Linked DNA regions of Macaca mulatta. The protein of the gene in region 7 binds, or shares a complex with, the protein of the main gene of each other region. Links are inferred from orthologs where the notes say so. Each region holds a gene or a part of one and is shown on either strand. Other genes may lie near its edges. The genes, in order: SMARCC1, DPF1, DPF3, SMARCC2, PHF10, ACTL6B and ARID1A.

The links.
Region 1: ARID1A (region 7) and SMARCC1 share a complex: the UniProt entries of both Homo sapiens proteins name them as parts of the neuron-specific chromatin remodeling complex. The link is inferred for Macaca mulatta from reciprocal best matches to the Homo sapiens genes ARID1A and SMARCC1.
Region 2: ARID1A (region 7) and DPF1 share a complex: the UniProt entries of both Homo sapiens proteins name them as parts of the neuron-specific chromatin remodeling complex. The link is inferred for Macaca mulatta from reciprocal best matches to the Homo sapiens genes ARID1A and DPF1.
Region 3: ARID1A (region 7) and DPF3 share a complex: the UniProt entries of both Homo sapiens proteins name them as parts of the neuron-specific chromatin remodeling complex. The link is inferred for Macaca mulatta from reciprocal best matches to the Homo sapiens genes ARID1A and DPF3.
Region 4: ARID1A (region 7) and SMARCC2 share a complex: the UniProt entries of both Homo sapiens proteins name them as parts of the neuron-specific chromatin remodeling complex. The link is inferred for Macaca mulatta from reciprocal best matches to the Homo sapiens genes ARID1A and SMARCC2.
Region 5: ARID1A (region 7) and PHF10 share a complex: the UniProt entries of both Homo sapiens proteins name them as parts of the neural progenitors-specific chromatin remodeling complex. The link is inferred for Macaca mulatta from reciprocal best matches to the Homo sapiens genes ARID1A and PHF10.
Region 6: ARID1A (region 7) and ACTL6B share a complex: the UniProt entries of both Homo sapiens proteins name them as parts of the neuron-specific chromatin remodeling complex. The link is inferred for Macaca mulatta from reciprocal best matches to the Homo sapiens genes ARID1A and ACTL6B.

The regions. Positions count from the first base shown.
Region 1 is NC_133407.1:111,044,969-111,048,772, reverse strand, and holds part of SMARCC1 (SWI/SNF complex subunit SMARCC1), read left to right. Parts: intron 1-824; coding exon 825-938; intron 939-2,345; coding exon 2,346-2,499; intron 2,500-3,532; coding exon 3,533-3,646; intron 3,647-3,804. UniProt on the Homo sapiens protein: Involved in transcriptional activation and repression of select genes by chromatin remodeling (alteration of DNA-nucleosome topology).
Region 2 is NC_133424.1:49,289,762-49,293,565, forward strand, and holds part of DPF1 (zinc finger protein neuro-d4), read right to left. Parts: intron 3,179-3,804; coding exon 3,100-3,178; intron 2,893-3,099; coding exon 2,761-2,892; intron 1,723-2,760; coding exon 1,672-1,722; intron 1,579-1,671; coding exon 1,459-1,578; exon of another isoform or gene 1,138-1,458; intron 486-1,137; exon of another isoform or gene 1-485. UniProt on the Homo sapiens protein: May have an important role in developing neurons by participating in regulation of cell survival, possibly as a neurospecific transcription factor. Belongs to the neuron-specific chromatin remodeling complex (nBAF complex).
Region 3 is NC_133412.1:145,837,186-145,840,989, forward strand, and holds part of DPF3 (zinc finger protein DPF3), read right to left. Parts: intron 756-3,804; coding exon 618-755; intron 1-617. UniProt on the Homo sapiens protein: Belongs to the neuron-specific chromatin remodeling complex (nBAF complex).
Region 4 is NC_133416.1:63,314,269-63,318,369, forward strand, and holds the end of SMARCC2 (SWI/SNF complex subunit SMARCC2), read right to left. Parts: intron 4,072-4,101; coding exon 3,690-4,071; intron 3,102-3,689; coding exon 2,673-3,101; intron 2,142-2,672; coding exon 2,065-2,141; 3' UTR 746-2,064; downstream 1-745. UniProt on the Homo sapiens protein: Involved in transcriptional activation and repression of select genes by chromatin remodeling (alteration of DNA-nucleosome topology).
Region 5 is NC_133409.1:2,316,750-2,320,553, reverse strand, and holds part of PHF10 (PHD finger protein 10), read right to left. Parts: intron 2,016-3,804; coding exon 1,862-2,015; intron 1-1,861. UniProt on the Homo sapiens protein: Involved in transcription activity regulation by chromatin remodeling. Belongs to the neural progenitors-specific chromatin remodeling complex (npBAF complex) and is required for the proliferation of neural progenitors.
Region 6 is NC_133408.1:47,859,292-47,863,861, reverse strand, and holds the start of ACTL6B (actin-like protein 6B), read left to right. Parts: upstream 1-1,725; 5' UTR 1,726-1,747; coding exon 1,748-1,772; intron 1,773-2,202; coding exon 2,203-2,279; intron 2,280-2,494; coding exon 2,495-2,660; intron 2,661-2,962; coding exon 2,963-3,063; intron 3,064-4,570. UniProt on the Homo sapiens protein: Involved in transcriptional activation and repression of select genes by chromatin remodeling (alteration of DNA-nucleosome topology).
Region 7 is NC_133406.1:214,203,167-214,206,676, forward strand, and holds the end of ARID1A (AT-rich interactive domain-containing protein 1A), read right to left. Parts: coding exon 1,867-3,510; 3' UTR 515-1,866; downstream 1-514. UniProt on the Homo sapiens protein: Involved in transcriptional activation and repression of select genes by chromatin remodeling (alteration of DNA-nucleosome topology).

The DNA.
Region 1 (3,804 bases), on a different chromosome or scaffold from region 7:
GTGTGCCAAGAACTGTTGCTAGGTCTCAAAGTCCTTAACACTCTTGTTATTAAGTACTGTATTTTGTGACAGAAGTCATTGGAATCTGCTGTAACAGAATCTCAGTCTCTCTCTCCATTTTCGTATGTTCTTTTCTGGATTTGGTCTCATGGATTCTACTTGTTGCCCAGCCATGATCTCCCTTAAAGAACTGCCACGAGAAGTTACATAGCTATTTTCAGAGCCAAATCCACGTGCCACATTTGAAATACAGAAGTGATAGGCAACAGAGGTTGAGAGCATAGATTGAAGAGCCACCACACTGGGTGCGATGAATTCTGGCTCCATCAATTACCAACCCTGTGGCTAGGACAAATTCTCTAACAACTCAGTGTTTGTTTCCTCACCCATAGATGGGATGATAGCAGACCCTACCTGCAATATGGAGCGATTATGAGGATTCAGTTGTCAGACATACATTGCTTATAACAGTGCCCTGCACACAGTAAAGTATAGATATGTGGTAGTGAGGCAGATAGCCTATGTAACCATGTGTTAGTTTCAAATTCTGCAGTTAACTACCACCATGACCAAGTTTGAATTTATGTTACTTCACATGAATGTCGTTACATTACTTGTTATTATACATTAGTAAACAGTTGTTTTGCATATTTGTGGTTCTAAATTCACTCATAACTTAATATGCAATATAATATCACCGTTTTTTTATGCTCTTGTCTTAATTTATTGTATTTCTAAGGAATCTGAAGATTTTTGAGTTTCTGAGTAACATTGTTTCTGAAAGGATACGTGTCCACCTTATGAATTTTGCCATTGCTTTTTAGATACTTGGCATATCGAAATTTTATGATTGACACGTATCGCCTAAACCCCCAAGAGTATTTAACTAGCACTGCTTGTCGGAGGAACTTGACTGGAGATGTGTGTGCTGTGATGAGGTAAAATGTTTGACTTTTTCTGAGACATTTAACTGTAGGAATTTACTTATGCTTTGCTGTCATATTAAACTGGTTGTTTCAACTGGGTAAAACACCTAATTTTAGTTGTGTCATTTAGGGGTGGATTATATTTTGTTTCCTTTCATTTCATTCAATTTATTTTATTTTTATTTTATTTTATTAATTTAATTTTATTGTCGAGATGGGATTTCATAATGTTGCCAAGGCTGGTCTCAATCTCCTGGCCTCAAGCAATTCTCCTGCCTCGGTCTCCTGAAGTATTGTGATTGCAGGCGTGAGCACTGTGTTCAGCATTAGAGGTTGAAAATTTAAAATATTTAATTTAGGCTGGGTGCAGTGGCTTACGCCTATATTCCCAGCACTTGGAGAAGCCAAGGTGGGCGGATCACCTGAGGTCAGGAGTTCGAGCCTGGCCAATATGGTGAAACCCCTTCTCTACTAAAAATATAAAAATTAGCCGAGCGTGGTGGCACATGACTGTAATCTTAGCTATTGGGGAGGCTGAGGCAGGAGAATTCAGGAGGCAGAGATTGCAGTGAGCTGAGATTGTCCCACTGCATTCCAGCCTGGGCGACAGAGCGAGATTGTGTCTCAAAAAAATAAAATAAGTAAGATAAATATTTAATTTAGTTTTCTAGATTTTACAGTTCACATTTTAATTTTTTTAGTCAAATCATAAAATAACCAGGGAAGGAGTAGATTCAGGTTGGGAGTGGATAAACTCTGCGCCCTAGCTCTGCCAAAAAAAAAACAAAAAAAAAACCCGCCAGGTACAGTGGCTCACACCTGTAATCCCAGCACTTTGGGAGGCCGAGGTGGGTGGATCACCAGAGGTCAGGAGTTCGAGACCAGCCTGGCCAACATGGTGAAAGCCTGTTTCTACTAAAAATACCAAACATTAGCTGGGCATGGTGACGGGCACCTGTACTCTCAGCTACTTGGGAGGCTGAGGCAGGAGAATCGCTTGAACCGAGGAGGCTGAGTAGGTTGCAGTGAGCTGAGATTGCACCATTGCACTCCAGCCTGAGAGACAGAGCGAGACTCTGTCAAGAAAAATGTGGATTTTTTCTATGTGTGTATTTGGTCTGTGTGTGGGTTCTTTTATTACCATGGACCTAAATGCGTATTTGTGCTCTCATTTCTGTGATTTAAATGATTAAACTTTGTAATAGGTTTGGGGGGTGCTGTGTTATCAACATTATTTGTGGCTTGTAGAAATTGTTCCCTACATAACAAACAAAATCTGTCAAGTAATTTGTGGTGTTTGATAGCCTGCTGAGCACATTTACTTGTTTTATTGTTTCTGTTTTTTAATGGTGTAATGATGATAATAAAGCACATGAAATTGATTCTTTAGATTTTAACTTTCCGAGCTTTATTCTTTAGGGTCCATGCCTTTTTAGAGCAGTGGGGACTCGTTAATTACCAAGTTGACCCGGAAAGTAGACCTATGGCAATGGGACCTCCTCCTACTCCTCATTTTAATGTATTAGCTGATACTCCCTCTGGGCTTGTGCCTCTGCATCTTCGATCACCTCAGGTAAATTAATGTTGACTTTTCATCAGACCTGAATAGTAACAAATGTCTGTTTATAGCATATCTATTTAGGAATGCTGTTGTTAGTGCTGTTTCTTTGATGCTTGTTTGTATGTGTGTTTTGGTGTACTGTAAATATTACAGTCCAAAAGAATATATAGTGTTTAAGTTAATGCTGTCCCACCAATCCCAAAACCCAATGCCTTAGTCTATCAAATTATTAATTTACTTTTATATGCATAACTCCCTTTATCCTTCTGTCATCAAAAAGACACACATAAGTAAGCAGATGATGCAAAATCTTCTTTCCCTTCCTTCAGTCTGTGTTCTAGAAACGTGAAGCAAAGAAATCTTTATAACTTGTCCTAAGATTTGTAAAGTGGACATCCATATATACATTATCAAACAGATTATGTCAGACAAATTCTGTATAGCATTAAGTTGGATTCACAGGAACCTAAGGTATAAATTTTGTTCCATTGTGAAATAGAATATAGTAATGAAAATTTGTTATCCTTTCTGGACTTAAGGGACACCAAAATGTAACTTGTATGTTGAATTTTTGTTAGAAGTATAGTGTAGAAGTGTGGGTATTTATTGTTTTTCGTAGGAAATCCACCAAGAGTGGCTTAAGTTCCAATATTAACCTTTTTTTTTTTTTTTTTTTTTTTTTTTTTTGGAGACAGAGTCTGTCTCTGCTCCCCAGGCTGGAGTGTAGTGGCATGATCTTGGCTCACTGCAATTTCCGCCTCCGGGTTATAAGCAATTCTACTGCCTCAGTCTCCTGAGTAGCTGGGATTATAGTCACATGCCACAACGCCCAGCTAATTTTTGTATTTTTAGTAGAGATGGGGTTTCACCATTTTGGTCAGGCTGGTCTTGAGCTCCTAACCTTGTGATCCGCCCGCCTCGGCCTCCCGAAGTGCTGGGATTACAGGCATGAGCCACCGCGCCCGGCCTAAACAAATTTTAAAAAACGTTTACCCTCTTGACTTTAAAGAGGCTAACTCAGCCGTTTATCATTTATTTGACTCAGGTTCCTGCTGCTCAACAGATGCTAAATTTTCCTGAGAAAAACAAGGAAAAACCAATTGATTTGCAGAACTTTGGTCTACGTACTGATATTTACTCCAAGAAAACATTAGCAAAGGTAAGGATTTTTTTTCTAATCACATGTAGGCTACAATCCAGCACATCTTAGTCCTTCTAAGATACATCTGATGAGCTTTCTACTCAAATCTGATGGTATTTTTAAAAACAATTATGATTTATCTTACCTTTTATATTCCCATATGACTTAGTAGATAG
Region 2 (3,804 bases), on a different chromosome or scaffold from region 7:
CCTTGACCCCCATCTCTTGCTACTCCTTTTGTCTTGTTTTGGTTTTTGAAACAGGGTCTCACTCTGTTGCCCAGGCTGGAGCACAGTGGTGCCATCAGAGCCCACTCTGCAGCCTTGACCTCCCGGGCTCCAGCAATCCTCCCACCTCAGCCTCCCGAGTAGCTGGGACTAATGGGGTGCGAAACCATACCCAGCTTTTTTTTTTTGAGACGGAGTCTTGCTCTGACACCCAGGCTGGAGTGCGGTAGTGCGATCTCAGCTCGCTGAAACCTCGGAGTCCTGGGTTCAAGCGATTCTCCTGCCTGAGCCTCCAGAGTAGCTGGGATTACAGGCACGCGCCACCACACCCAGATAATTTTTATATTTTTAGTAGAGACGGGGTTTCACTATGTTGGCCAGGATGGTCTTGATCTCTTGACCTTGTAATCCACCCACCTCAGCCTCCCAAAGTGCTGGGATTACAGATGTGAGCCACTGCACCCGGCCTATTTTTTTTTAATAGATGGGCTCTCATTATGTCGCCCAGACTGGTCAAAAACTCCTGGGCTCAAGGGGCCGGGTGCAGTGGCTCATGCCTTTAATCCCAGCACTTTGGGAGGCCAAGGCAGGCAGATCACCTGAGGTCAGGAGTTTGAGACCAGCCTGGCCAACATGGTGAAACCCTGTCTCTACTAAAAATACAAAAATTAGCCTGGCATGGTGGCGTGTGCCTGTAATCCCAGCTACTCAGGAGGCTGAGGCGCAAGAATCAGTTGAACCCAGGAGGCGGAGGTTACAGTGAGCCAAGATCGTGCCAATGCACACCAGCCTGGGTGACAGAGGGAGACTCCATCTCAAAAAAAAAACCTCCTGGGCTCAAGCAGCCTCCCACCTCAGCCTCCTGGGTAGCTGGGACTAATGGGGTGCGACACCATGCCCAGCTAATTTTGTTTTTAATAGATGGGATCTCACTATGTTGCCCAGACTGGTCTCAAACTCCTGGGCTCAAGGGAGCCTCCAGCCTCAGCCTCCTGAGTTGCTGGGATTACAGGTGCGCAACAACACACCTGGCTAATTTTTAAATTTTTTGTAGAGATGGGGGTCTTGCTATGTTGCTCAGGCTGGTCTCAAATTCCTGGCCTCAAGTGATCCTCCCACCTCTGCCTCCCAAAGTGCTGGGATTACAGACGTGAGCCACTGCACCCGGCCTCTCACTACTCTTGATGCCATGCTAAGCACAGGCCGCTACCCACAGTGCCATGAGAGCCACATCCCGTTATCCCTGAAGCCTCACTGATCCGATCCAATTCCCACCATCCTCAGCAGTTGCATCAGCCTCGCTAGCTCTGGTTATCCCCAGTATCCCCTACACGCTCGGGGTCCCCTCAGTCCTCACCACCTTGCCTCCCTCCCTCCAGGTCTGCACTCCTGAATGTCCTCTGCACCCGGCCCCCAGAAACCTCAGGTGGGGAGCGTCACCTGATCGCCCACAGTCTGCACAGGAGATGAGGTCCTCGGGACACCCCGTCTTCTTGGAGCCCCCCAGGCAGAAGTCACAGTAGCCGTTGGGGATGACAGTGCCGTCGGGCGCCTTCTTGGCTGCAAGACAGCGGACAGGCATTGGCACGGGGCAGGCAAGGGCACCCCGCAAAGGTGGCTGCAGACGTTAGGAGCAGAAGGAGGCGTCCATACCTGTGTGTTTCCTTTGTGCCTCAGGGACCCAGGCCAATTCTTTGTAAAACTCTGGGGTGAGGGGGACAGAGAGAGGGACTCTCACCACAGGCAAGGCTCCACCCTGCCCCCAGCCTCAGCCCCAGGGATGGACCTCTTAGTCCAGGTGTGGGGAGATGGGAAGAGTGAGTAGCTACCCTAAGCCGTGGGGAGAGGCGAAAACAGTTCTCATCGGGACTCCCAACTCTTCTTTTTATTTATTTATTTTTTTTCAATTAAAAATAAAAGCAGCATCTTGGTATGTTGTCCAGGCTGGACTCCAACTCCTGGCCTCCAGCGATCCTCCCGCCCCAGCCTCCCAAAATGGTGGGATTATAAGTGTGAGCCACTGCACCCAGTCAGGATTCCCAACTCCTTGAGACAACTGACCCGTCCTCTTTATTGGGTCAAAACTTGGTAAAGACAGCGTGAAGAAGGGCTCCCTGCTTCCCTTCTCACATACATGTCTCCCAGCCACCCATTTCCAAGTGCACCCTCAGTAATTTGTATCTAACAAATTCAGAGAGTACCCCGAGCCAAGATCTGGTACAGAAACAGACACTCAGAAGAAAAATTCTGAACGCCGAGGTGCCCAGGTGTGTAGTGGCCTGGGGTGAGGACACTCAGCCTCTGCCTCTGAGAGATGCTGCCTCTCCCAAACCCTCCTCCCCGCCCCCATCCCTCAGCTGTCAGAACTGGCATGGGATTGGCACGGGCGGACGCCAAGGGCTCCCAGGTCACAGACCCTGCCCCTTGACCAAAGCTTAGCCGAGAAAGGAGAAAGGGAAGGCAGGGCGGGAGGGGAGCCATCTATCACACCCCCCCTCCCCAAGCTCTAATTGAAACAATAAATCAGACCCAGAAATATTACGCCCGGCCGGGAGCGAAGGAGCGATGGTTGGTTGCCATGGCAACCCCAGAGCCAGCATCCCCATGGTCGGTGGGGGGAGGGAACGGCTGAGCTGGAGATTTTCCAGAAATGTCTAATGCCCCCCCACCCCCACCCCCAGCTGGGCTCCTCTTCCCCACTCCCAGGGCCCCTTACCACCCCCACCTGGCCTGCCAGCTCACGTTTATGGTTGTTTTTCCGGTGGAAGGGCAGGGCGTGGCGTTCGGCGTTCTCCTCCCCCTCCTCCTCAGCCAGGTGGGTGTGGGTGTAGTGGTAGCTGAGCCCCGGCCGGTTCTTATACCGTTTCCCACAGACTGGGGAGCGAGCGAGCCAGGAGGGCCTGTCAGCCCCTCCAGGCCCATGCTGCCTCCACCCTGGCCTCCAGGATCACACCTCCCCCCCTCGGCCAGAGACCTGAGCATCCCCCCAACCCGGGTCTGGTACAGGAGGCAGAGGGCCACAAGGTGGGGATTCTCTGGGCCCCCCTCTCTCTGCCTTTCCCCCTCTTCAGAAGGACTCACTATCACAGACATACGGCTTGTCTCGGTCCTCCAGGGAAGCGGTGTCCTGGCGTTTCCGAAGACCCCCGATGCCATATGCCTGTAGGGAGAGTCAGGAGTGAGAGGCCAAGAAAGTAAGAAAACAGGCCGGGCGCGGCGGCTCACGCCTGTAATCCCAGCACTTTGGAAGGCCAAGGCAGGCGGATCATGAGGTCAAGAGCTCGAGACCACCTTGGCCAACATGGTGAAACCCCATCTCTACTAAAAATACAAAAATTAGCTGGGTGTGGTGGCGCATGCCTGTAGTCCCAGCTACTCAGGAGGCTGAGGCAGAAGAATAGCTTGAACCCAGGAGGCGGAGGTTGCAGTGAGCTGAGATCACACCACTGCACTCCAGCCTGGCGACAGAGCAAGACTCTGTCTCGAAAAAAAAAAGGAAAAAAGAAAGTGAGAAAACAGAGTCTTTTGCAAATTCAAATTGCAGCTCTGCAAATGTCCTAGCTGTGGGGCTTCAAACCTCTCCAAGTTTTAGCTTCTTCCTCTGCGGCACGGGGATGAAGGTAGCTCTAACCCACTGCATAATCTCTGCTTTGCAAATGGCTTAATACAGATGAGCCTCAGTTTCCTCATCTGTAAAATGGGTATTAAATCCCCCACCCCTGCAGGCTGTTCTGGGATTCAATGAGGTCAGACTGTGGCAGGGGCCGACCACTGCGCCTGCTCCAC
Region 3 (3,804 bases), on a different chromosome or scaffold from region 7:
GCACAGAAATGGAAACACAAATCTTCAGGATCACTTTGGGTCTGGAGAGCCCAACATCCCAAACAACAAATCCACCCAGATCACATTTGCCATTTGAATGCTGAAGGAAAGAACATGGGGTCTCCAGGCAGCGTTTCTAAGGTAGGAGAGCCCTGTACCAAAATGTGATCCCCCCCTCTCTACAACAAAACCACACCAATAGATAAGAATACTCTAAGGCTCTTAGTGGCCAAGCAGGCATTTCGAATGTCTGTCTGAACTGATACACCCATGACCTATGCCCAACCCAGTCTGAGTGGCTCTTGAGGAGCTGAGGGAAAAGAGTTGTAGGTCTGGCATCTGACAGTGGCCAGGTAAGGACTTTCTCTTCTGCTTAACACCTTCCTTCCTCTGGGAGCAGAGCAGGGTGTGTGAGCCCAGCCCTGCTATTGTTGGGCTGAGCTGCAGGGGCAGCTGACTGGCTGGCTGAAAGGGCCAATGCACTACAGCACATTGAGACCACTCAAAGTTTGCTACCAGAAGATGCTAGCGCAGCAGTGAGAAAAAGGAACAAGGAACGCTCCCCAGCCTGCCTAACCCACTTCTTCACTGCCCCAACCTAACAAGTAGGCACTCACGCCTGTGGTTCTCATTTCTGTGGTTGGGTGGGGACCGAGTCTCCTGGTCTTGAGCTTCATCCCCCTCCTCGCTGGCCAGGTGGGTGTGAGCATAGTGGTAGCTGAGCCCCGGTCGGTTCTTGTAGCGCTTGCCACAGACTAGAGAGGAAAAGAGGAAAAAAGGGAGAAAGGCAAATATTAGCAACCTGTGCAGCCACTGCTATCATTCTCCCAGACAGTGACCCCATCCATCCACCCCAGAGCCAGGCTTCCCTTAAAACTGTCTCCCATCCTAACACCCCTTTCCCCCACCCAACAGAACCAACACCCTTATAACAACTCAGCTCATGGAAAGAAAAACTGTAAAAGTAAAACGAGGTTAAGAGCTGCGTGAGCACTCCACTGTTTCTAGCTGTGAGACCCAGGGCAAGTCACTTGACCTCCCTGTGCCTCAGTTTCTTCAGAGATAAAATGGGAATACTAACAGTACTTACCTCACAGGGTTATTGTGATAAGTTTATCTCTATGCAAAGTACTTAAAACAGTGTCAGGCATGTTGTAAGGGTAATTGTTATAACGTTGAATTCAAAGGACACTGGGAATCTACCCAATCCAACATCCCATGACACAGATGAGGCAAGTGAGACCCAGCAACGCCAAGTGACTTGCCCAGGAACACACAGCTAGTGTGGCAGAGCCACCAGAATCCATGTCTCCTGGGTTCCTGTGCACTGTCCCTTCCACCACCCCATGGTTGGCCTCTGCAAGAAATAGAAAAGTTTTATCTGGATAATACTTCTGATGTCTCACCCAGTGATTTTGTGCCAGAAACACATGCTCCACTTCCACCATGAACGCCATGGAGTTAAAGCATCCTTAGTGAGTGTAGTCACCAAGAGCTGGTGCTCCTGATGCCCTAGGGCAGCCAAATCTGTAAAATGTGCTCTCACAAGTACTACCTCTCAAATGGGGCAATTTGAGCCAAGGGCAGCGAGCAATCAAAATGTGCCTTCTTGGAGCCAAGAAGAAAGGGCAGCAGTTCTGTTGGTTAGATGCTCAGTTCCTGGGAAGCAGAAATCTGGCTAAATGGCTCAAGGTCACACTACCACCCTCAGCCTCCCCACGTACAGTTGATTATCTCAGCCCCCAGGGGGACGGCATTGCTGGTAGCAGAAACCTCGAAGAGTCTTCCCAGTGAAACGTCCATGCCAACCTTCTATGCTTGCCCCCCAGCCTGGGTCCCCATCACAGCCAACCAAACTGCTCTGCTGGAGTGCTTGAAAGTTACAAATTCTAAAAGACTTCTCCCTTGGGCTGACATGACCGAGTCATACAAGGAAGCATAAATGCTTCACAAGGTGGGAAGAGCACAACTTCAGCAGCAGGCCTGGGTTCAAATCCCAGTTCCAGCTGCTGAGGTTCACTGGCTGTGTGGTCCTGAGAGTATAGAGAAATGCTGTTATCCAGTCATCTTCTCCAATGATATTATTCTGATAATTATTACTTCTGATAGAGTTACTTCCGATATTACTTATTACTTCTGATAGAGTTTCTCTTCCTACCAGATTCTCTTGGAGTTTTTCAGTAGACAAACATTGGCCAAGATAATGTCATCTCTTCTTCCCCATATTTACAGAAACTGTTTGATCATAGCTTAGATCATTTGTAAGAACCACCAAAACAATATTTTTAAATGGCAAAAGCAAGCATTTCCAATGTTAACGAAGGCAGATCTAGTGTTTCACTGTTTAGAATGATGTATCTGGCTAATTTTTAGTCTTTACCACATTTAAGTAGTTCCTCTTATTCCTGTTATAGAGTTTTATTATAGGAGAATTCTAGCAACTACCCTTTCAGCATCTACTATAATATGACTCTCCTTTAGTTTGTTGATAAGGTAAATTACGTTGATTTCCTAATATTTCTTATTATTGAACCATTCTTGAATTCCTAGAATGCACTCCATTTGGTCAGAGTATATTGTTTATTTGATATACTGCTGCATTCTGTTTTCTAATATTGCATCTTGAATCTGTGCTAAGACTTGAGCTCGATCTATAATTTTGGGACTATCTTTTATTAGGTTTCAATTTTATGGTCATGTTGATTTCTAAAAATGAATTGAGTTTTGCTGCATGATTTGGACAAGCTGTAGCTCTGTGCCTTTTCTTTTATCTGAAAATGAGGATAACAGTACTTACCTTGAAGGATGGGTAAAGGGATTATAAATAGCATTTGTAAAGCAGTTCTCTCAATACCCAGCATAATAGATGCTCAGTAAATGGTAAATGAGGGGCAAGGGCTGTCAGCATTTTTTGCTGCATCTTAAGTACTGGACCTTCCTGAAAAGAGGGACTTTGACCCTTGCCTCATATTATAAAGTCTGGCAATTGGTTGGACTTCCTTGATAAGACAAGAGGAGAGTCTGAAATTCAAGTTGGTGACCTAGTGACTATAAATTCAAGGCCCAATGTTTAGCTCCCACTTATAAGTGAGAACATACGGTATTTGATTTTCTATTTCTGCATTAATTCACTTAGGATAATGGTCTCCAGCTGCATCCATATTGCAAAGGACATGATTTTGTTCTTTTTTATGGCTGTGTAATATTCCATGGAATATACTAAACACTGGGTACACACAGACATGAAGATGGAAATGACAGACACTGGGGGCTCCAAAAGAGGGAAGGGAAGGGAAGGAAGGGGACAAGGCTGGAAAAACTACCGGTTGGGTACTATGTTCAGAATTTGGGTGACAGGTTTAATAGAAGCCCAAACCTTAGCATTATGTAATATATGCATGTAACAAACCTGAATCTAAAAAAATAAAAAATTAAAATAAATAGGCCTATCATTGGCTACTTACATTCATATATTCTCTCTTCCACTCTCTCATAAATATTGTAAAAAAACAAAATTAAAATAAAATAAAAGAGTACTATGCATCTCAATTCCATGTGACTCAGGAAGCCGGACCCAAAGAGGCCCCTGAGGTGCACTGTGGATCTGCTCGTGGCTTTTTCTATTTAGCTTTTTGGATAATCTGAAGTTAATACACAGCAAATTATGGGGTCATTGCATATAAATCCATTTAGTCGCCAAGCATACTGTTAGTAAGGAATAAATGTTTACTAAAAGTAATGATAATGATATCAGTATTTACACAAAGAGGCCTCAGCCGCCTCTGCAGATCCCCAGTATAAACT
Region 4 (4,101 bases), on a different chromosome or scaffold from region 7:
TTTCTGCCCTGAGGCAGAGTCCAAGGTCAATGGTGCAGGGGTTGAGGAAAGCTGAGGCAGGAAGCCCCTGTACTAGCCGTCTGGGCTTCATTTAAAAACTGCTGGCCCCATTCATCCATCTTACACAAGCTACCTCTTGGGAGATTAGGAAATCTCCTACTAGATTGGTCCTACCTAAGATCCTGGTAGGACCAAGGCTGGCCATCCCTGTTCCATTCCGTATCAGGCTGTCTTCTCCTAGCCTTCCAGCTCCTTAAATCTGGCCCCCGCCCTCCCAAGCTCCCAGTAAGGCCTTTTGTGGGGAAGCCTGTGGAGTGTTTACTGGAGCTAAAACCAGGCCATTATTAGCACTGCCTAAGCCTGTCCATCACCTCAGCAGGGCGAAGGGCCAATAACAACAAAAGGAGGTAAGGGACTTGCCTCCTCCCTAATAAGGGAAGGAGTGAAACCACTACTTCTGAAGGGATAAAGATACAAAATTCCATTATTGTGGGAATGTCCTTCCAAGTCTTAAACAGCTTTTAGGGCAGGTGAGAGCCTCTGCTCCTATACCAGCACACAGTCTTGACATCTGTGCTGCTGTTCGTGTTTTGTGGGGAGGCGCAGTGTCTAGGCCCTGTGGCTTGCATAATGTCTCTGCGGCCCGGGTAAACGCCGCTGTGAAGGACTCCAGGAAAGCTGCTCCAATCCCAGTCCCCCTGCCTGACAGCCACAGGTAAGAAGAACACAGAATGCACCCACAAGATGGAACTGAAAGCAAATTAATTTATAAAAAAAAAAAAAAAAAAAAAAAAAAAAGAAAATTTACAGAAAACTTTGAACAGAAGAAAGGTGCTAAGACGCAGAGGGAGAGAAACACGGGGACATGAGGAACAAAGGGCCTGGTGGAAGGAACCAAGAAGAACCAGTGCAGAGCCTGGAGGCACACCTGCCTTCCAGTCACAGGGGAGGAGCTGGGACGTGGAGCAGGAATGCAGGAAGCAGAGTTGAGCTCCGAGCCAAGGGTTGGTCCAGCCCAAGGTTGGGCACCCTCTTCCACTGCTCCCAAATCCCTGCATCCTCATCTGGGGAGCCCCCAGCTATCAGCTGAAGTTCTCACAGTCTTGGTGGGAGAGGGAGGAGGCTAAGGGGTGACCCACCAAGTCATAATAAGGAGGTGCTTAAGTGCTTTAAAAAACAATTTCAGGTTTTAAAACTTCGCATCCTCTTACAGCTCCCTTCTCTGCGCCTTCCAGGAGTCCATGGATACAGCCCAGGGAAGGAAGGAGAACAGCCCCCACTGCCCTTTCTTCTATTACCTACCACAGAAATCCCCGAAATTAGGTTTTCCCCACCAAATACACATACGCTGACATCAACTAAGCAGGTGACTTTTAAAAACAAAACTGACATTCAGAGGGAAAGGAATCATTGGCTGAGCTGGGGTGGCCTAAAACAGCAACAATGAGGAAGCCGCAGGAGGGATCATTAGTACGAATAAACTCGAATAAGCTCAGTGTAGGGTGGGCTAGGGGAGCTGGGGCCTTGACTCAGTCACTAAAAAGGGGCTTGGGGAGAGACAGAATCTGCACCCTGTTCTATCCCCAGAGCTCTCCCTGGAATTTTAATTCCCCTTTCCTAAAACTCACTCCCCCTCAAAAAATGTAAAAATTGGTTATTTTTTAGTGGGTAGAAGGGAGCTCCAATGTGGCTTTTTAAAATCTACTTTTTTTTTTTTTTTAATCCATAGAAAATGCAGTAGTTTGGAGGGAGGTGTACCCTTAGAAGTGGTTAATAGAACCTTGTATAAACACCTTTCACCAGCCCTTCCTTTAGGGCAGCATTCCCATCCTATCCTCTCTCCCAGACATTAGAAACATCTTTTAAACAGAAGTCCTTGAATAATCTGATATAAAAATGCATGCCTCTGTTAGGCATGGTGAGGGCTTTGGAGGGGCGGAAGGAGCTTTCCTTACGTAGTGATGAACTCTCCAGGCTGGGGAGGGTCCCAGTGGTGGGGGAAGGGCTGTTCCTGGAACCGTGATCTCCAGAGGGGGTGAGGGGGAGAGATGTCTGGCTGGCTCCTCACTGTGGAGGTGGCACAGGGGTGACCGTGCCTGGGCTCGGGGCTGTGGGGTCTGGAGGCAGGGGGGTGCCTGGGTCTGTGGAGAAAAGTAAGATGAATCAGTTAGATTGCGCAGGAGAGAGGGCTCCAGACCCAGACCAATACAGACAGAACCGGGCATGGCATGCAGTGGTTGGGTGGATGAATGAGGTACCCACAATGTTCAACTTCTGTTCCCAACACCCTCTTCTACCTCATACTGAGAAAAACTGATAGAAAGGAGACTCTCTAAATAGGGCATCTGAACGTGATAGGAATAAGCAAAGGGATGACAATCATCATGCAAACAGCTGCTTTTCAAGTTTACAACTGATGCTCTCTGCCACAGGATTGCTCCATGACCCACCAGTGAAAGGCCCCAATACCATCCCAAAGGTGGCAGCTGCCAGGCTGGGGACTGGTGGAGGACAGCCAGAGAGGCCTTTCCTCCTGTATTCTAATTTTACCAGAGTGTTCAAAAAAGACTGTGGAAAGTCTAGTACCTGACCTCTTCCCCCACCTGCCCGCTCACCCTCCCTCCATGTGGACCCCTCTCCCTCACCCTTCTCCCCTCTTGGCCCCTTCTCACCTGGCAGTGGGCTGGCACTGGGCAGGAGGTTGCCCTGAACAGCTGCCACAATGGCAGGGCTTTGGGCTGCGGCGGATCCGAGCCCCGGCCCGAGAGGCAAGGAAGATGGCATGGTGGTGGTCGCCGGCAGGTTAGGATGTAGAGGGTTCGCCATGGACACAGGCAGGTTAGGTGGGGGGAGAGTGCCCGGGGCGAACGGGAGATGGTGGTGATGCCCATGCAGGTTAGGAGGAGGGGGGAGGTTAATACTGATGGAGTCAGCTAGACTACCAAATGGGATGATGGATGGAGCAGGAGGAGGAGGAGGAGGCGGCATGCCAAAAGGCAAACCCAAAGGAGCATTACCCGCCACGCCTGGGTGCCCGCTGCCTGGCACTGCCCCTGGCATCATTGAGGGAGGAGTTTGTTGGTTGGGGAACGGTGAGGGGCCTAAGAATAAAGATGAGAGATGGAGAAAGTTAGGTATAAAATGTTGCTTAACAACTCTTTTCTTTTTTATTTTTCTTTTAGACGGAGTTTCACTCTGTCGCCAGGCTGGAGTGCAGTGGCACGATCTTGGCTCACTACAACCTCCACCTCCCAGGTTTAAGCAATCTCCTGCCTCAGCCTCCAGAGTAGCTGGTACTACATGCGCCCGCCACCATACCCAGCTAATTTTTGTATTTTTAGTAGAGATGGGGTTTTACCATGTTGGCCAGGATGGTCTTGATCTCTTGACCTCGTGATCCACCCGCCTCTGCCTCCCAAAGAATAACTCACTTTTACAAACAAGGATAATCTAGCCATTCCTTGGCTCTGTCTTCCCTTTTTCTGACACTAGAGTAAGTGAACAAAATTCCAAAGCTCTCGAGTTTGGGGAAGGATTCCTGCTGGTTTAGGGGCCTAAGAGAGATGGGCCCATCTATAGAAATTGAGGCTAACCTCATCTCCAGACTCATCTTGTATTCCCTTTGAGGGGAACTGGGACATTCACCTGGATTCTTCTAGTCAACAAAAGTTCTGGAACATGACACTTACCATGGGGTCCAGGGGGGGGAACCCCTGGTGGGACTGCCCCAGGCTGGGGGGCTCCAGCTGGTTGCTGCTGCTGTGGCCCTGCAGTTGACCCTGCCTGCCCAATCTGTTCAGAAGGGCCCAAGCTTCCTGGAGGGGCCCCACTGCCAGCAGGAGCAGGGACTACAGAGGCTGGAGCCACAGCCAAGCCATGGACTGCGGGTGGCCCAGCAGCCCCTGTCGGGGGGATAGGCTGGGAGCCTGGGGGCAGGGCTGGCGGTGGCTGCTGCTGCTGTTGGTGCATCTGTTGGAAGTGCTGCTGCCGAGCCCTCATCTCCGCATACTTCAGCTGCTCCATGTGGAAGGCTTGTCTGTCGGCCAGGAGCTGCTGCCTCTGATACTCCAGCTGCCAGTGCCAATTGTGTATTGTTATCCA
Region 5 (3,804 bases), on a different chromosome or scaffold from region 7:
CATCTTTCTTCTAAGTATGATATGGTATAAAACTGATTGCATTCATATCAGTGCCTTCATCAACTTTGTTTTCTGACCTAAGTCACAAAAATGCAATTATCCGCTTCAGCTACTATTATACGGCACACAGCTTCAACATCATTTTCCATGTCACAAGGGAACATATTTGTTTCACACAAAAATATATTGTTACAAATAAGTGTGGGTATTTTCACTGAGTACTAAAAGTCATTAAGAAGGTCCTTCAGGAAAAATGAAGTGCTGCAGTTAAAAAAAAAAAAAAAAAAAAATTCCTTCGAGTACACATTTGTGTTTTCATAATGTTAAACCATGCAGAGCCAATCCCTCAACTATCTACAACAGGATGTGAAAGATTGCATATATTCAAGGTTTAAGACCTCAATATCTAATGATTTAATTCTTCATTTTATAATTTTAAATTTTCTAATTAGAACTTTCATATAAATTATGAAAATTATAAATGAAAAAATTAGATTATCTAGAGCCTCCCTGATAAACACACACTGACTAGAAACATTAATATATCCACTTCATCTTTTTTCTGGGTGTCCACTTATATACATAAAGATACCGAGACTCACACATACCCCCTAACCTCATTGTGCCCTCATTTTTTAAAACACAAAACTGGATTACACTGCGTGTGTATGCATGTGTGTGTTTTGGTATTTTTTTAAAAGCATTATGTGCATGTTCTCACAATCATTAAATATTCTTTGAACTGCATTTCTATCCTATAAATGTAATATAATATTACCCACTGTGGGCATTAAAATTTATTTGTAACTTCCAGGATAAAAAATACTGTAAACACTCAAACAGACCTTTTTATTCTAATTAAATTTTTTTCAGCATCTGATTAAATCCTTAGGATAAATTCTACTAGTGGATTTGCGAGGTCAAATTCTGTGGAACTTAAATTGGTAAGACTGTCAAAACGCTTTCCCATAATGTTGGATTAGTTTCCACTTTTCCTAGCAGTATGAAAGGAAGTCAGCTTCATCCCCCTTTGCATGCCATAGCTCCCCTTTTAGCAACATAACAGGAGAAAAGTTGTATCACCACTTTAATACTTGAACAGCATCTTATTTTGCATAATATGTATTATTAAAGATGTTTTAGAAGCTGCTGGGGACAAGGAAATAATGTCCATTCAATGGTAGCACAACCTCACATTTAGATTGGCTTCAATGAAAAGTCTGAAATAGCCAGTTACTTAAAACACAATGCTAAAGAAATTCAAAGCCCTATGTCATCACTGTGATCAAAGCCCTAAACCATCAAGGGGATTCTGTTCTCCTTCAGATCCACAGAATTCACCAGCTGCCCATTGTTTTGCAAGCGCATTTTGCTACAAAAAAAGAGTCATACAGGAAAACCCAACAAATTGCACAACATATTACTAAACACAATATTTTCCTATAGGAAGCCTAAGATTAAGCAAAAGAAACCTAAGTTAATGCACTCCCCTAAACTAAGAAAACTACATTTCTGTGTCAAGAGATCAAATTCTGTTTTGTTCAATATTTTAAGCTAAAGAGACAACAAGTTGAATAAATGACTGTAAGCTAATTTTCCAATATCCTTGCCTAAATCGCTCATGGTAACTACAAAGGGGCGATTTTAAGTATAAATCTTACCAAAGGCCACACACGGCTTGTTTTTTATCAAAACATACTATAAATAACTTTTCTTGATGAATACCTTCTGGAAATTACATGCAACCATCCTTTTTCAAAGAGAGGGTGATGACAGAAGTTCAATGTAACATTCCAGGAAAGCAATTAGCAAAAATTCAAAGAGAAAGGAAACGCTTCCCACTAGAGAGAAATGTTCTCACCGAAGTGCCTTTATTTTTCCGTTTCTCGTCACCTCGACCATCTTCGCCATCATCTGAATCACCGTCACTGTCTAGAGCAGGGAGCTCAGGATCCAGAGGGGGCTCATATAGGGCTGTGTTTAATGGCAGATACCGCAGCTCATCTGGTGAGTACCTGAAGTTCAGAGCGTTTATTTTTGGTTTCCCTTTATTATTAAATATAAATAGACTCATCGTTGACCTATGAAGAGAGCCTTAAACTTCTTGAGTAACTCCAAAGACTTCCGAAAAATAGAGTATTAATTTTTAATTTTTGTCATCAAGTAGGGTTAATAAAAAGCCTGAACATCTTTTCACTAGACTTATGTAAAATATGCATTTGATTCTAAGAGATAATGCGCCTCTCCTCTTTGCCCTCAACCCAAAAAAACAAAACAGTAAATAAAATGTCAGTAGCCCCAAGTCTGACTGCCAGCTCACATCCACGTCCACCACTGTTCCAGGTCTTTGCTACTTCTCTGTGCTATCACTCCACTTGTAAAACAGGCCTAATAATAGCATCTACCTCATACACCAGTGCATGGTACATGATATTACTTAATATTAATATAGAAAGCAAAATTTTTAGTAACAAATTATTGTAAACAAATTTGGGAAGCATGTATTCTAAAAAATCTAATCAACTATTTTTTCTGAAACTAGATTGGCAATCTCTTCCCCTAGGTCAGACAGCAATGCTTTGTGCCACCTCCATTCTCACCCTCAGTAGTCCTCATTCAGGAAGCGACCCTGGATCAGGACTTCTCCAACTAAGACAACACACCAAAAAGCAAAGGAGTTGGTATACTTGCATATGACTTTTAATAATTTGCTGACACCAGAGTAAAATTTTTAAAAATTTAAGGCCGAGTGCAGTGGCTCACGCCTGTAATCCCAGCACTGCGGGAGGTCAAGGTGGGCAGATCACCAGAGGTCAGGAGTTCGAGACCAGCTGGCCAACAGAGTGAAAATCTGTCTCTACTAAAAATACAAAAAATTAGCCGGGCGAGGTGGTAAGCACCTGTAATCCCAGCTACTTGGGCGGTTGAAGCAGGAGAATCACTTGAACCCGGGAGGTGGAGGTTGCAGTGAGCCGAGATCGTGCCACTGAACTCCAGCCTGGGTGACAGCATGAGACTCCATCTCAAAAAAAAAAAAAAAATTGAAGAAAAACTTTTAAAAAAACTGCTGCCCATGATTTAAATTTGAATTAAAAAACCTTTTTAATTTAAAAAATTTCTGCCCAAGATGTGACTTTCAAATGGTGTGAGTTATGATACTATACTTTAAATTCTATTCTCTAAAAAAATAGTCTATTATGAAAAACATACGGTTCCAGAGTAAGGCTTAAGGTTGAAGTAAAAGCTGAGACTTTAAAACAAAATGGGCTGGGTGCAGTGGCTCAGGCCTTTAATCCCAGTACTTTGGGAGGCCGAGGTAGGCGGATCACAAAGTCAAGAGATCGAGACCATCCTGGCCAACATGGTGAAACTCCACCTCTACCAAAAATACAAATAATTAGCTGGGCGTGGTGGCATGTGCCTGTAGTCCGAGCTATTCGGGGGGCTGAGGCAGGAGAATCGCTTGAACACAAGAGGCAGAGGTTGCAGTGAGCCAAGATCGCGCTACTGCACTCCAGCCTGGCAACAGAGTGAGACTCTGTCTCAAAAAAAAAAAATCTGTTAGCCCTGTTTTTTTTCAGTTACATTCAGTTTGGGAATAGGAGATAAGTAGCATTTAGGGGCCAGATTGGAGCAGCAGCCAGGCCAGGTCAGCAATGTGGCTGAGGCACCTAGGTGCCCGTGCCTGCCCCTCTGCTCCTTCTCTCATCTTCTCTGCAGTAAAAGTCAGTGTTTCTCAAACTCTAACCTGCACGTGAATTATACAGACATCTGTTAAAATGCAGACTTTGAGTCACAGGTCTA
Region 6 (4,570 bases), on a different chromosome or scaffold from region 7:
AGGGTGGGCATGTGGTGAGCAGAGAACATTCAGGGGCATGCGGACCTCACATAGTATCCTCTTCCTGTGCTATCTCTGGTCTCAAAGCTCCCTCGCCCCCAGACAAGTAGATGGGCACACACTCAACACACACAAGCATTCATATGTGCATATGTACACACATGCACCCATACGCCAACACACATAGACACATACATACAGACACATGCACCCTCACATAAGAGTCCCTCAGCTACCCCAAGTTGTCAGAGCTGCTCCTTTGCCTTTGCTACCAAAACTGTGGTGCCAGGAGCCCAGAAGAACCTGGGATCCAAGCAGTAGAAAACCCTGTTGTTAGTCCGGTGCTGCGGCTGACACCTGTAATCCCAATGACTCAGGAAGCCAAGGTGGGAGGATCGCTTGAGGTCAGGAGTTAGAGACCAGACTGGGCAACATAGTGAGGGCCCTTCTCTAAAACAAGCAAACAAACAAAAAAAACCAGGTGTGGTGGTGTGCACCTGTAAGTCCCAGCTACTCAGAAGGCTGAGGCGAGAGGATCACTTGAACCCAGGAGTTCAAAGTTACGGTGACCTGTGAGCGTGCCACTGCACTCTAACCTGGGTGACGGAAGACCCCAATTCAAAAAGAAAAGAAACAAAAACCCTCTTGTTGATAAATGCCTCCTTAGGAAAATAGGCGCTGAAGAGACAGAGAGATGGAGAAAAGAAGCTAAAGCCAGGTGGGCTGTGTGTGAACGTATGTATATGTGTGTAAGCATGTGTACACATGTATAACGCCCAGGTACTGGGGTGGTGGGGGTAGGGGTGGAGCAAGGCAAGGAAAAGAGGGGCCAGCGAAAGACAAAGGAGGGAAGTTGGACACGGTGGCTCATGCTTTTAATCCCAGCACTTTGGGACATTGAGGCCAGGAGTTCAAGACCAGCCAGTCTCTAAAAAAAAAAACAACAAACAAAGAAAAAAACAGAGAGAGATGGAGACACACCCCCACCCCCTCTGGTCCCTCTCTTAATCTTCCCTTCCCTCCCTCTCCCGGCAATTCCATTTAGGCCTGGGTGTGGCAGAACCGGGCTCAGAGCAGCCTGAAGACAGATGACCCTTCTGGGGAGTGGAGCTCTCTCCCCAGTCTTGCTTTAAAAAGTAAGGGGGTAGAGGTCGGGCATAGCACTTTGAGAGGCTGAGGTGGGAGGATCGCTTGAGGCCAGGAGTTCAAGATCAACCTGAGCAAGACCCTGTCTCCATAAAAAAAATTTTTTTAATTTGCCAGGTGTGCTGGCACCTGCCTGTAATCCCTGCTATTAGGCTGAGGAGGATCGCTTGAGCTCTGGAGTTCGAGACCAGCCTGGGCAACGTAACAAGACCTCCGTTTCCACCAAAAAATTTAATAAAAACAAAAAGCAAGGGGGTAGGGACCTCATCAGTCGTCCTGCAGAGTCTTGGTCTCCACCTCTGCCCTGCTCTCCTCTCTGCCGCCCGTTCCTTAGCGACGGTCTCTAAGTCCCTGCTAGGCGCCCCCTGCCCCATCTCCTCCTGGTCGCCTAACGGAGGGTATCTTCCCCTTTAAATCCGCGGCCCCCGGTCCGGTCATTGTCTCGCCTGGCAGCCAATCGGCGGCGCCGTTGGGGGCGGGGGATCCGGCCTCCCAATTGGTCGCCGTGCGCCCCGCCCCGCCAGGGATCCCGGGAGCTGTCCGGCCGCCTCGGTGCTGATCCCGCCACCGCCCACGGGCCGCTAGCAGCGCAGAGGGCACTATGAGCGGGGGCGTCTACGGCGGAGGTGAGCGAGCCTCCGGCCCCCTGCGTTCCGAACCCGCGCCATCCATCCGAGCTCTGGGCACCCCGGGGCCTGTCACCTCCGCGCATGAACGGGTCCAGTCTCAGGCTCGGGTTCCCGCCTCCCCTGCGCTCCGTTCTCGTGCGCACCGGGCCGAACCTCTCTACCTTACAACCCACCTCCACCTGGCCCCGGCCCCTTCCTTTCCCGTCAGGAGGGTGGCCTGAGCAAGGCCAGTGGGCAAGAAGGGACCCTGGCGGTATGATGCCCCCACCCCCAGTCCCAGGACCTCAGACTCCAGGCCCAGTTCCCACCGGCTCCAGACTGGTGTTGAAGGTGGCGAGTCTGTGGCTCTGCCCTGACTTTCTCTCGGAACTACCTAGCGGGAAAAACTTCGGGGGAGGTCCCCTTACAGGCCTGTCTCCCCTCACAGATGAGGTGGGGGCGCTGGTCTTTGACATTGGCTCCTTCTCAGTCCGCGCTGGGTACGCTGGGGAGGACTGTCCCAAGGTGAGCCTTCCAGTCTCCTCTCTAAATCCTAGGGGCTCCGGACCCTTCTTCAGGCTTTCCAGTGACCCAGGGCTCTCCCAGATCGCCCAGAAGCTCTGCTGAGCGGGAATGTGGGAATAAACCCAGGGGCGGGCTGAGGACCCTGCCGTGGGGCTGGACAGGGGCAAGAGGGTGACCCCTCTCCTGCCGATCCTCCCCCAACCCTTCCCCACCAGGCTGACTTCCCCACCACGGTGGGGCTGCTGGCCGCGGAGGAGGGGGGCGGGCTGGAGCTGGAGGGGGACAAAGAGAAGAAAGGGAAGATCTTCCACATCGACACCAATGCCCTGCACGTGCCTCGGGATGGAGCGGAGGTCATGTCGCCCCTCAAGAATGGCATGAGTAAGGGGCCCCCACCCATCACCTCCTGACAGATAGGGAGCCCACTCCCCACGATCTGGGACATAGCAGCCCCCACTCCCCAAGGAGTCTTCCTTGCAGCCCCAGGGTTCTTCTCGCTGCCAGGGTTCTTCTCGCTGGGTTCCCTTCCCAGGGGCCCAGCAGGTTTCTGGGAAGAGGGGACGTTCCCCTGGGCCTGGACTCACTGACCCTCCTTTGGGCTTGGCCTTTCTCCCTCCTTTTCTTCCTGTCCCTGACCCCTGCCTGCCCTCTTGCCTTTCTCCACTCTGCTCTTCTGGCCCCAGTCGAGGACTGGGAGTGCTTCCGAGCCATCCTGGATCATACCTACAGCAAACACGTCAAGTCTGAGCCAAACTTGCACCCCGTGCTCATGTCCGAGGCCCCGGTGAGTGCCTCCTGCCTTCCCATGTCCAACCCCGATCTCCACTGCACCTGCTTCCCACCATCCACCTCTCCTCCTCTCCCCTCAAGCCACCGATGTCAGCCACTTCCCTTCCCTTTTCAGACTCCCCTCACCCATCCCAACCACTTTCCTTCCTTCCTAAGTCTCCATCCCTCCTGCTCTCTTCTTGTTCTATCTACTCTGCTGCCCTTCTCCATCTCCAAGTCCTTTTTTAATTTTTTTTTTTTTTTACACAGAGTCTCACTCTGTCACCCAGGCTGGAGTGCAATGGTGAGATCTCAGCCTCTGCCTCCCGAGTTCAAGGGATTCTCCTGCCTCAGCCTCCCGAGTAGCTAGGATTACAGGCACCTGCCATCATGCCTGGCTAACTTTTTGTATTTTTAGTAGAAATGGGGTTTTGCCATGTTGGCCAGGCTGGTCTCGAACTCCTGACCTCAGGTGATCCACCCGCCTTGGTCTCCCAAAGTGTTGGGATTACAGGCATGAGCCACCATGCCCAGCCTCCAAGTACTTTTTAGACCTTTTAACTTATTATTATTTTGGTCAACATTGGTGAGCTGGGGATGTGGGCTCACACCTGTAATCCCAGCACTTTGGGAAGCCAAGGCGAGAGGATCACTTGAGCCCAGGAGTTCGAGACCACCCTGGGCAATATGGCAAGACCCATCTCTTTTATCAAAACAATAACAATTAAAAAAATTTTTTAACTGCATTTTAAAAAATGTTCTTACCCATATCCTTATAGATTCCTCTTTATAGAAGCAACTGTTTTTCTCCTTTTTAGCTAATTTTGGGGGTATTTTCTTCCATATCTCTAATATTACACTTAAATTGCTGCCTGTGGAGTTTTTAGTTTTAGATATTATCAATGAATTTTCCACTCTAGAAAATGATCACTTAGCTCTTTTTTCCTCCCCAGCCTATGCCACAACATATTTCTATTACCCTCCTTTAAGTACAGTGGGTTTTGTTGTTGTTGTTTTTGTTGTTGTTGTTGTTTGTTATTTGTTTTTGAGATTTTGTCTCAAAAACAGGGGCTCCGCTCAGTTTATCACCCAAGTTGGATTGCAGTGGCACAGTTCTGCAGCCTTGGTCTCCTGGGCTCAAGTGATCCTCTCATTTCAGCCTCCGGAGTAGCTGGAACTACAGGCATGAGCCACCACGCCCAGCTGATTTTTAAATTTTTTGTAGAGACAGGGTTTCACCATGTTTTCCAGGCTGGTCTTGAATTCCTGGGCTCAAGCGATCCGCCCGGGTCGTCCACCCAAAATGCTGGGATTACAGGTGGGATCCACTGCACCCAGCCCAGTTGTATTTTAGACTTTGAAAGAAATCAATATTCAGTATTTACACTCTTTTTAAGTTAGAAATAATTTTAAGAGAATCTTTTGTAGAGATGGGGTCTCATTATATTGCCCAGGCTGGCTTCAAACTCCTGTGCTTAAGCGATCCTTCTACCTCAGCTTACAAAGTGCTGGGATTACAGGCA
Region 7 (3,510 bases):
AAGCAGGGAGGCCAATTTGGAGGTATTTCAAGAATCCAAGATATAACAGTGTCTTGAACTACAGTAGTAGTGCGGGATTGAGGATTACTTTGTAGAGTGCTAACAGATTGGATGTGGAAGTGAAAGAAGTCAAGGATTTTTTTGGCACGTGATAGAATGGAGTTGCCATTTACTGAAAGGAAAACACAAAAAACCAAAACTATGGTAGAAGCAGGTTTCTAGTGGGGGAAGACAGGACATTTTAGCTTTGGCATGTTCAAAGTAAACTTCCAAGCAGGGATGACAAGAAGATGGCTGAATGCTCTAGTCTGGAGTCAGGGAAAAGAGCCAGTCCAGAGATATTACAAGTGATTAAGTTGGAGGTTGCCTCCAGATAAATGGTTGTCTTATTTTGGACAGATGCCACTATTTAGGGGAGATCTCACACTAAGGGAGGTTTGCAAAAACAGGACTACCTCCTACCCCCCGACAAAGGTCAAGTTTTAGTTTGAAAATAAAAAGCTTCACAAAAGTCTTACCAAGATTTAATGTACATTTATTCTTAACACGTGGAACATATAGTATAAAGATTTCATACTGAATAAATGATATTCATTAAGCCAAAAAAGGAAAAAAAGGAGGAATTTACATCAAGTTTTAGCTACATTGTTGAAATACAAATATGCAGATTTTATCACTGAAAAAATCTCAATTGTGTTTCTTCATCAGAACTTCAACTGAACCTAGAACTTTTTCACACCTCGATTAGAAAGAAAACAAAACAAAACAAAAACCCAGAAAAAAATAAACTATAAGTTGATTGGCTGCTGAGACAGCAAGGACTTTTTACAGAGACCTGTACAGCATCGCACCAAGAGGGGCGATGTCTGGCAAGAGATTAAATAGCTGTGTCTCGCTTTGTGCAGGTCACCAACTTGTTAACTCGTCATACTATAAAGGGGTAGCTGGGATGAGGACCAAACTGTGGGGATCCAAGGGTATGTGCAATGTACAACGTCATATATATACACACGTGGCAGCGCAGCCGCTGCAGCTAAAGGTTAAAACCAGTTCTAAGAGGTGATCTCAGGGTTATTCATACAATCAAGGAGGAGAGAAAGAGGTCAGGGTGTTGTAGGTTCACACATGATACTTTGGGGGAAAAGCCTTTTTTTTTTCTCCTCAACGTTTAACTAAAAACATTTTTAAAAACTACAGCTTGCTGCTGACCCAGCGTTTTCTCGTTTCCATGTGAGACATTATTATTACAGTATGTTTACAGTATCAGGTGTACAGTACAGTACATGAAAGGGTCTACACTCTACTGCACAGGCCTCTCCAGTGAACAGGGTCTGTTCACAACTGCGAACTTCTTGGCTCCTGCAAGATTGTGAATGTACAACAATAAACCACACACAGTTCAGCAGTCACCTTTTTTGTCCTTCAGAATTTTTTTTTTTGTATTTTTTTCCTTTTTTCTTTTTTACCATTAAAAACAGTTATGAAATGTGGCGTCCCGTTGATGCAAGGACTGGGAAAGCCATTTTTATTTTATTTTTTTTTCCCCAAACTCACTGTAAACAACAGTAACTTTGGTTAAAATAAAAAAAGTCTTCTATGTAGGCAGAGCTTTGTCTTTTCAAAGAGGGTGGGGTGGGGTCCTGAGGGGAGTAAGGTGAGGTCAAGGAACAGAAAGGCGTGAGGTGGTGGACGGGGAGAGGCGGAAGGAGGAAAGAGAAACAGGAGAGACTTTTTCCCAAGGGAGAAGCTGGACAGCACAGGGTAAACTGGATTCTGAGGTGGTTTTGCATAAATAAAGGGCAACAGTCAGTTTCTAAGTTCTCCACACACGCACACACACACAGGGGGGGAGGTGTCCCACGGCTGTCATGACTGGCCAATCAAAAACAGTACATCACAAATGACTTGTGAAACCAATGAGTTCATCAACGGTGATACCGAGATGTCCAACAGCCGTGATTCGTACAGAGTAAACTCTGAGTGGTTCTCGTCCACCTTGGCCAGGGCAAGCAGCGCGCGGGCAGCCCGCCGCATCATGTCCACACTAGTTGGCTCAAAGGGTGGGTTCTGCATGTGGAGGAGGCTGGCCTGGCTCTGCTGGAACTGCGTGGCGGCAAGGCTGTCCTCTAGGAAGCCCAGGAGGTTGCCGATACTGCCTTTCTGCACTGCAATGGCACGAGCTGCCAGGCTGTCCCCCTGAGCCAGGTTGGCCAGCAGTACCACAGCCATCTCCCGGCACACCGGGTTCTTTCGGTCACTGAGGAAGCGCACCATAGTGCTATACAACTTCTCCAGGCGACTGAAGGGGGGTGTGGCCAGAATCAGGTCCACATTGTTGTCCTGGATGCTGAGTTTGCTGAGGGTTTCCAAGACCAGTCTCTGCGGGGAAAGGACGGCATTGGGGCCCAGGGTGGAAAAGGGGTCCTGGGCTTCAGCTGAAGGGCAAACTGCCCAGTGTAGGAGTCCGTCCAGGACAGGCAGGCAAATGCTCTCGGGGTATGGGGATAGGTCCAACTGCCCCGAGATGTTGGCGAGTGTAACCAAGGTGTTTTCCCGGAGCATCTCCAAGCAGTCCCACCACCACTCCACTTTGTTGCAGCTCACCCCTTGGTCCTGTTCCTCCTCCTTCTCATAAGTTAGTGGTGCCTGCTTCCGTTCTGGGTGCTTGTGGTGCAGCAGGATCAGCTTGCCCAGGATGAGCAGCAGCCCTGGGTGTTTGGACATCTCAAAGTCATTGCCTGGCACAAATGACAGGCTTCGAATGGTATTGGAGACACAGACACAGCGCTTGGCAAGAGAATCCTGCCAGTCCAGAAGGGTACACAGTGGGGTCTCATCCTTACTGTGGGGTTCGTCCTCTAGGATCTTGATATTCCGGTGGCTCTGTGCTGGGCTAATGCCAAATGGAAACTTGCTGCTCTCCTTGATGGCCTCTGAACTCTTAGCTCCATCCTCGGTCAAGGTGCTAGACCGAGTAGACAACATGTCATCCATAGTGGCTGTGATCCGTTTTTCTGGAGGTCCATCAGGTGGGGGTCCCTCCTGGTCTGTTGTCCCTGGCGTACCCTCTGCTGTTGTCACATGCTTCCGGGGGGCTGGTGGGCAGGGTGCATGAGGCCGGGAAGGCAGCAGCTCTGTCTTGCTTTCGAAGTGGGTCTGGATATGCTCAGTGGTGTCCCCCCCACCAATCCGCCAGTGCAGCAGGCCACTGTCAAACTCCTGCACACGCCCAAGCTTATCTGAGCAGTCCACCACAAATGGGTCATTCTTCTGTACGATCTTTACTGGAAGCTTGTCAAACTTACTGATCAGCTTCTCCTCACTATTCTCTGAAGCTGGCTTGTCCTTGCCTGAAAAGGCTATCTCCTCATCATTTTCAACTACTTCCTCTTCTTCTTCCTCTTCTAGTTTAGGACCTAGAAGTTCTTCTTCTTCTTCCCCACCCTCCATGGGAGCTGGACTAGACACCTTGCTGAACCTCCCAGGATCCAGTAGCGTTCTCTGTCCTGG